3 linked regions of the Daphnia pulex genome follow. Each later gene encodes a partner of the first gene's protein in a complex. Links are inferred from orthologs where the notes say so. Each region holds a gene or a part of one and is shown in the gene's direction. Other genes may lie near its edges.

Evidence for each region. The genes of interacting proteins can lie anywhere in the genome.
Region 2: mediator of RNA polymerase II transcription subunit 16-like (region 1) and mediator of RNA polymerase II transcription subunit 7-like share a complex: the UniProt entries of both Drosophila melanogaster proteins name them as parts of the mediator complex. The link is inferred for Daphnia pulex from reciprocal best matches to the Drosophila melanogaster genes MED16 and MED7.
Region 3: mediator of RNA polymerase II transcription subunit 16-like (region 1) and mediator of RNA polymerase II transcription subunit 19-like share a complex: the UniProt entries of both Drosophila melanogaster proteins name them as parts of the mediator complex. The link is inferred for Daphnia pulex from reciprocal best matches to the Drosophila melanogaster genes MED16 and MED19.

Annotation. Positions count from the first base shown.
Region 1 is NC_060021.1:615,806-618,248, reverse strand, and holds the end of mediator of RNA polymerase II transcription subunit 16-like, read left to right. Parts: coding exon 1-150; intron 151-1,414; coding exon 1,415-1,521; intron 1,522-1,594; coding exon 1,595-1,855; 3' UTR 1,856-1,943; downstream 1,944-2,443. UniProt on the Drosophila melanogaster protein: Component of the Mediator complex, a coactivator involved in the regulated transcription of nearly all RNA polymerase II-dependent genes.
Region 2 is NC_060019.1:10,647,734-10,650,396, forward strand, and holds mediator of RNA polymerase II transcription subunit 7-like, read left to right. Parts: upstream 1-1,244; 5' UTR 1,245-1,380; coding exon 1,381-1,566; intron 1,567-1,623; coding exon 1,624-2,094; 3' UTR 2,095-2,163; downstream 2,164-2,663. Other genes in the region: tyrosine-protein kinase Btk29A-like, read right to left, coding at 1-248, 362-629, 719-880. UniProt on the Drosophila melanogaster protein: Component of the Mediator complex, a coactivator involved in the regulated transcription of nearly all RNA polymerase II-dependent genes.
Region 3 is NC_060023.1:10,280,182-10,283,366, forward strand, and holds mediator of RNA polymerase II transcription subunit 19-like, read left to right. Parts: upstream 1-1,457; 5' UTR 1,458-1,674; coding exon 1,675-1,879; intron 1,880-1,920; coding exon 1,921-2,192; intron 2,193-2,257; coding exon 2,258-2,602; 3' UTR 2,603-2,685; downstream 2,686-3,185. Other genes in the region: required for excision 1-B domain-containing protein-like, read right to left, coding at 128-304, 366-564, 631-716; MAP kinase-activating death domain protein-like, read right to left, coding at 3,068-3,154. UniProt on the Drosophila melanogaster protein: Component of the Mediator complex, a coactivator involved in the regulated transcription of nearly all RNA polymerase II-dependent genes.

The DNA of each region.
Region 1 (2,443 bases):
AACTATTGGTCATATTCAGGATTTGGGGCTTGATTCGTCACTCGTGCTTGCCTACTTTCAGCTACATGGAGAACGTTGATGTCATTGCCACACTGTTTCGCATTCTAACTCGACTTCTTCAAACATCAGAACCTGATGAAAGCCTTTTAGGTAATATTTATTCAAAATTTTTCCTCAAGAGATTGTTGCTGCACCGACAACGGTTGTCAGGTTTAAGTTACAAATCAGTGGTGGCTGTGGTTAACGCCAGCCACGTCCGGAAGGATCGACCACTTCCTTGCTCGATAAAAATTCGTTTCTCGTAGCCCAGAAAATCAGAATATATTTTTCTCTAGTCGTGACTAGCAGGTGCTCCCCTTTAAGACCCATATTTAAACATCTCTTGGAATTCTTGGCGAGCAAATGGGCTTCATTCGCAGTTTATTCATTGGCACGAGGCCTTTTTGGACCGTTGGTGTTCCTGTATTCACATTAGTTTTCTTTGTTACTTACTGGTTTGTTTTGTGTCCGGCTATTTGGAATCGCTATCATTTAGTCGGTAATGATCGTTCCGAGTTTAACCTTTGGCTCTTTGCATACTGGGTGGTTGCAGCCGCAATATGGGCGATTGTTTTCTTCGTAGCGTATTATTTGTGGAAGAAGGAGAAACAAGTTGACAAAAAGAGTGATTCGGGATTTGATCAGCACCTTTTATCTTCTCAACCCAACAAGACGACGATCCCACTTAGCTTTAATACGTTACCAATCCAGCCTAAATATTACATCCCTACTGAGAAAATCGATAACGAAGTCACAACCCTTCAGTCCTTCACACCTCGTCAGAACCAAATGATTGAAGCCGAAGTTACGTCTAAACGCGTGCAACCGCTAACGTTGAAAACTATGCCCCCGTCTAGACCGTCGGAAAGCGATTTTACATGGGACACTGAGGACATTTCTTGGATGAGTGAAAACGGTGACATCACATCGCCATCGTATCTGATAAGCATCGCAGAACGAGACTTGGAAATCACTTTGGAAATCGATTCTGTAGCTAGTAGCCCTCAGCCTCCCGAAAGCGAAGATTCGCAAGAAGATGGTGAACGCCAATCTCTTGGGATTGAATATCGCTCGGATTTTTATCAACTAACGCCGACCGGATCTCCTCCTGATTCGCCTTCATTCGCAAATCCTTCTTCTGGTGTAGAAAACCCCGCATTAGAAATGGAAGATGACGATACAAGTGACATTAACTTGACGAAATCTGAATGAACTTTCATTTTTCGGCATCAGTTTGTTATTCTTTCGACTTTGGATTGTTCTAGTGTCTCTTTCCCGGAGTGCCGATTATGCAAACTGTGTTTTTGTGTCATTCAACGTGTTTTCAGTGTGTTTATTTGCTAATTTATTCATTTGTGCGTGCCCATACTTGTAGACGAATGTTGCCAACTTTCGAGTCAACTCATTATTCCTGACATTGGGCTCTCGTTGCCAGCGCGTGGAATAGCCAGCCCTACTTTGTTTAATCAGCTACCGTTACAGGTACGATACAAGTTTCTTTTTTCCCAGTTTCCATTAGGATTGTCATCCTTATTTGTTGTTTTTGCAAATGCAGTACGAATACGGAAGCCATCCAGAAGAGCCCAGTTCAACCAAGTACGACGGCGTCGAAGGCGAGAGCAAAGTCGACTCGATTCGCCACGTCTACCTTGGTTCGAAACCGCATAATGTTCGCTACTGCTCGCGCTGCAAGGGCATCAGCATCGTCGTTAAGGGGTTGCGGGTGGGTCGATCGAACGCTGCCAAATCGTGGGACATGCGATGGCAGATGTCGTGCATATGTCGCGGGAAATGGAGCCGACAAGAAGTCCAGTAATTTGTAGTTCATTTAAACGCGTTTGTACGGCTGTCAATTTTTGAATTCCATTTCGTGGTTGGATATCATACACTCTCATGCACAATTACTAATTATAATGGCACAATCGAATATGTCTTTATACTTAAAATAACGTAGATACAAAAGAAAGAGGTGTAATAGCGTAACATTGTCTTGAACCCATCAGCCAACTTTGTGCTTTTGTCCACCACCAACAACTTACTACTTGCCGTTGTAATAGTAACGACGTTAACCTCGCTAATTAAGAGATGGATGGAGCGCGGTTATGTGTCAAAAAGTGTTACTCCTCGAGATGCTTTCAATGTAATATTAGTTCAGTTATCATTTAGGATCATTCGGTTTTATACGGACGTGGTCTTAACATTACTGGTTACCTTTATAATAATATTATCGGTATAATTTGCACTTGTTTTCTGATCAGAGTGGGCGGATAAAGGATTCTCTTCCGGTGACGCGGTAGTAATGCTGGGATACTATAGGTCTAAATAAATTTGTTGTTTGCTTAAGATAACTGGAATTATCTATTGCGTAGTTGACGTTGGGTGGGCGGCGTAATAACTTTCCTGT
Region 2 (2,663 bases), on another chromosome or scaffold:
CATGGCCGCCTCGACTTCAGCCCCATTCGCAGGTTTAGCGACAGGACTTGGTGAGGGAGACGGATGGTGGATGATGTTACTGAAATTGATGCCCATGTGTTGAAGTGTATTGGGAGCCCAAGTTACAGAACGGCAACCGTTTATTGCCTTAGACGTGGACCTTTGGGTTGATCCACAGCAAAGATAACTTCTATTCCCCCACAGGGCAGGGTGATACACATTCACAAGAGGAGCACTGTCTTTGACCACTATCAGGAGAAAAATAAAATAAATTATTAGATGAGATAAAATGAACATGTGAGATAAATACTGCTATTTGTCACACATAACTACTTGAGACGTCAAAAGAGAATGTTCTCACCAACTCGGATATTCCAAAGCCAGATATCTCTTTCTTGCTGAGTGGGAGTGAAAATGCAAAGAGTCAAGTCTGTTGCACTACAACCTTCATTACACTCATAAGGATTGTACACTATCTGAAAAGCAGGAGATCCCTTCAAATCACTCGGAATGGAACCTGTAAGGTTTGCCAATGGACCGATGGCAGGTGTGTCAGGTGCTGGATCAACAGCTTCCACAACTTTCACTGTTTGGAGGTCGACACGTCCCTTTTCTTTTCCTTTGCGATTCTGTTGTTTGGAATTGATGGTTGTGATGAATTAGTGATGAAGGGATTCACGAACACAGTCCATGCGTGTTTAGTAGAACTAAACCTTACCTCGCATTCGCCCTCGTAGTAGGCGAGGAACTTTGTGGTAAGGACGAACCATCGACTCTTGTAGTTGATCAAACTAAACCTCTTCTTGTTCTGTGATCGTTTCACTAAATTGCCTTGCTTTTTTACCTCACCTGCAAGAGGTTTGGCAGAGCTTTTAAACATACTTACAAAACGATCACTAATCAAAAAAGTAGTCCCCACTTGATAAAGCTGTTATAACTTCGTTCATTGTCTTTCTCCCTGGACCCTGGTACGAAGAGAATGAAAGCAGGACGAAGAAAAAGCTCTCCAAACCTCTCTAAATACTGGCAACTCGGACAGATCTAGCGGCAGTTGCCGACAACTATTATCGGATTTAATTTCCTCCGAAAATTAGCGATAAAATCGAGGAAATATACATTTAAAATAAAAAAATAAACAACGATTAATTGATTTAATGACAATTTAATGTAAAATTGAATTCTTTTACAACATTCTAAATCAAATTTGTTTCCATTCAAGAATGGCGTGTCGGGACAGCCACAAAAAGGAGAACATTGATCAAAAAATAGTCTGCTGAAATCCCCAAGCAAACGAACTAGAAAACGTCACATTCTTCATTCTTGAAAACAAACTATATTGTTTACATTACTATATTGCTTCATTCCAGTGGGAAAGTAAAAATGTCAGAAACGGCTCAAGTTAGTTCATTACCTTTGCCACCGATGCAATATGTCAGTCTTTTTAATGAAGAAAACGCTAAAAGAGGAAGAACACCGAGACCACCTCCTCCGATCACAGACAATTATTCCATGTTTGGTAATCCATATAATACTGATGATGCTGTGATCCGACCTCTTGAAAGCCAGGTGATAGAAGTTTTTTCTTAATCAAAGCTTTCTTTAATACTCGTTTTACTATTCCAGAATATACGACGTCTGTACCCTAATAACTATGACCACAGAAGAGAACTGAAAAAGCTCAATCACTCCATCACTGCTAGTTTCCTTGACTTGGTTGATATCTGCATACGAAATCCAGAGTCTGAAGCAAGAGCCACAAAAATTGATGACCTCACTTTGCTTTTCATTCACATGCATCATCTGGTCAATGAATTTCGGCCTCATCAAGCAAGGGAAACTCTTAGAGTTATGCTAGAACAACAAAAACGACAAAGATTGGAAATTGCAGAGCGTTTCAGAAGACATTTTGACAAAGCTTGGGAATTGGTTCAGCAGGCTGTCAACACAATTCCTGAACCAACTGAAGGCAACATCAAGCTCCTTATAGATGTTGAACGGGTTCAACCTTCAGAAGGCAATGCAAGCAACCAAACTTCTGGGAATGGGTGTACTGAGGAGGATCGTGTTCTGTGTCAAATGATTGATTCTTTGTGAATTCTGTGTTATTTTATGTTTATTCAAAGTGGAAAATACATTCGATCTACTCGCCTTTCTGATGTAAAATAGTCTGCTGTTTTATTTTTAATCGTTTTGGGACAAACATAATCTCGGTGATTTATTTTTTTTTAAGAATTTTTATTTTAAAATAATTATTGCAATAGATTTTTCTATTTGTATTTTAGTTGATAAATGTTGATGATCCACCTAAATTAAACATCTAGATCAAATTGCAACGTTGTTTATTCGTTTTAGTCCGTCTGCAGTCGCTGTAACATATTTTTCCTTCAAATTTTTCCTCTTGAAAGTTGATTCGAAACAACAATACCGTTGAAGTTAATTCTCTGCTTTTGGTAAGTGCATTGCTGTTAATTTAACTGTATATTGAACCGGTCTATCGATAGTTATTAGTTTTATCATTTCGCCTTGCAGGTAACATTCAATTGTTATAGCCAAAGCAAGTTTTTACACGTGATCATCTTTCGTTAGTAGAGTAAATTTTAAAATGACTGAAAGAAAAGTCAGCCCAGTTCCCGTCTATAACAATATCCTAATGGAACAATTTT
Region 3 (3,185 bases), on another chromosome or scaffold:
ATATGTTAAATAGAAAACTAAGAATGCAACATTTAGTTAGAAGCATTATGATGCTGTATTTCTTTAGATTGTCAACAGGTTAATGCAAATATGGGAAGAGAATAATCTTCAGTGATGAAAATAAAAATTACATCAGATCAGCCAATTGGTAACAAACAGCTTCCATGTTTTGATTGATCTTGTCTTGAACCACAGCCAATTCTTTCTTCAAGTGATGCACTTCACGCATGAGAATGTCATTTTCAGCATCCTCAATATGTTGCATGTCTTGCAACTCTTGTTTAGCCAATTGCAATCGAGCCATCTAAACAGAAAATCAACAAGTTTAATAAATCTTTAAATCTTAATCTTTAATAATTTTTTACCAGTTCCAGCTGCCTTTTCTCATAATCCTGCACTTTGATAACATGCAATGTCAGTTCAGGCTGCATGTTTCTCAATTGGCACTCAATTTTAATTATTTCTTCTGAGATTCGCTTAAAGTCTTGAGTTATGTCTTGAACAAGTGTACGAAACTGGATAAAGTCATAATTTGGTCCAGTGCTCAGATAAATCTTATGCCCTCTGGAAAGAAACAATACATGCAAAAATTACCTCATGTGAAATTTTTTAAATAACATTGTAACTCACTCATGAAAAATCTTGTAGGTGTGGACCCTTTCCTCTTGCAATTGCTGGAATTTCCTCAAAAGGCCATAAGCTGTGACTCCATCCATGTTGAGAATTATAATTTTACTAACGTGTAACGAACAAAACGGAATGAACGATCTAGGTAAAGAAAAGATACGAATTGTATTGTATATTTAAAAGGAAATAAGCCTAGGTTATACAAATAATTACCTTTGGAGAAACAGAGTTCTTATTATCACGGTTGCGAAGGTAGGTTTTCTATCCTCGTAACATCACGACTTGTGGTTCCAGAATAAAGAGGACGACTATATTTTAAGGGTGACGACCCGGTCCTTTCATCAACGCCCCTAGGGTCAATTCTGAGACAGACAAAAAAAGGGCTGGGTTACTGGGTTGGAAAAGCTGAGTCTGGCCTTTAAAAAACCCTCTACAATACACTAGGGAGTATGAGATAAGGATTTTTTAAAAAACAGCCTCTGCCTTCAGCCAGTTTTCTGACTTTTCTTGAGACTATTGAAGGACGCCGAACTCGAATTCGAAAGTTGAATTCGACCTCTGGCTAGATAGATATTTTTTGATAACATGAATAATAAAATATACATCAACAGTTTGATACTATTACCAGACGGAAATTGAAAAAAATTGTGATTAAACTCACCATTAAATCACACGAGGCGGACACAAAACTATCTACCCTAGCAACTGCCACTGAGTCTAAACCTCGTGTGACTTTTTGACTTTTGAAAGCGTGCTCTCGCCAACTTGGCCAATTCAAGTCCTCGGGCAAAAATATTTGCATAGAGGAGCATCTAGTTATATCTTTTGGGTACAGGTGGCGCTGGTGTTTCGTTATGCTTTTTCGCTGCTGTGTTTACTCTGTCAATTGTCATTTTTGGCATCCAACATTTGCCTGAATAATTTATTAATATCTATAATTACTACGATATATCGGATTCGACCAAGGTCAGTCTAGTCGGATACGGAGATTTTACAAGCGATGACCTCATACTAACGAGTAAAAAGGGTAAAAGTTTTTGACAAAAAATGTCGGAATCATTCACCATCCAAGTGGCCGATTCTCTTCGGAGATTTGAGCCGAATTCTCCAAGATCTTCTCCAAGAGGAAATCGAAGCCCAGTTGTTCCCAGGCAACAAGATTCCACTGGAACACTGAAAACCACCATATCACTTGGAAAGACCCCAACAATTGTTCATACCGGACCATTTTATCTTCACAAGGAACTGCCAGGTATACATATTTTACGTGACTGTATCATTCTTTCACTCAAGGTAAATCTATCGCAGGAGATACTGACCTAACCGGAGCAACAAATTTAATGGCTCACTACAATTTGGAACATTCATACAACAAATTCAGTGGCAAAAAGTTCAAAGATTCGCTATCTTCATTCTTACCTGGATTACCCGGCATGATTGATACTCCTGGTAACACAGACAATTCATCCTTAAGATCCATCATTGAAAAACCTCCAATCGGTGGCAAGGAGTTGGTATTCTTGAATTCCTCTCAACTTGCAGGATTCCGTCTTCATCCAGGACCAGTAAGAGACTTTTAGACAGCAAATCACATAATTGTTATTTTAATTTTCACATCTTTATTTCATAGTTGCCTGAGCAGTATCAAACCTCTTCCCTGGCCCCACTGAAGAAAAAACAGAAACACAAGAAACACAAAAAGAGTAGCGAGATCTCAATTCAAGAAACTGGAGCTGGAATCGCTGGACCGGGCATTGGAGTAGTAGGAGAGGGAGGAGCCGGTTCGGGCGGTGAATCCTACGAAAAAAAGCATAAGAAACAAAAGCGACACGAAGATGAGAAAGATCGCAAGAAGAAGAAGAAGGAGAAGAAGAAAAAGAAACAGAAGCACAGTCCAGAACACCCAGGAGCATCAGCCTCAATCGGTACTACAAATTCAAACAGTAACCCACCTGGAATGATGCCCTTACTTTGAGAAACCTTCTTGTCACGTCGATTTATTTCGAATTTTTTCTGCTTCTTTCGAGAGTATAAATAAAATTCCATTCAATGAGTGAATTTTGGTTTATTATTATTCATTCTTTCAAATATTTTCTTCTAAATCGGAGTTTGAAAGCTATAGCGTTGGCTTGCCCGAAAACAATGATAAGCACGTCACGATAGCTACACGCAAGTCACAATCGCTCAAATGATATGATCAATAGGGTAAAACAACTTTATATTCATTAATTACAAATACTAACAGTGAATGTTCGAACGCAAATTTGTCAACTGCTGTTGGTTCAAATTTCTTGATGAACCGTACCATGACTAGATAATTATTATTGCGACGACTCGTACGACAAAACGAACGAGTAATCATTTAAGTACAACAACTAAAAGTAACAAGCGAATCAAGTGATGTCCGGTGTGTGTTGCTTGGTCGATTGATGATGAGCTTTCAAGTCGGCTCAACCTTTTTACGCTGTTCGCTTCCGGCGGCCACGTAAGAAAACACGCAGAGAACAGCGTAACAAATCTGATCCGCCTGTTTTGTTTAAAAGAACAAAAAAAGGTTG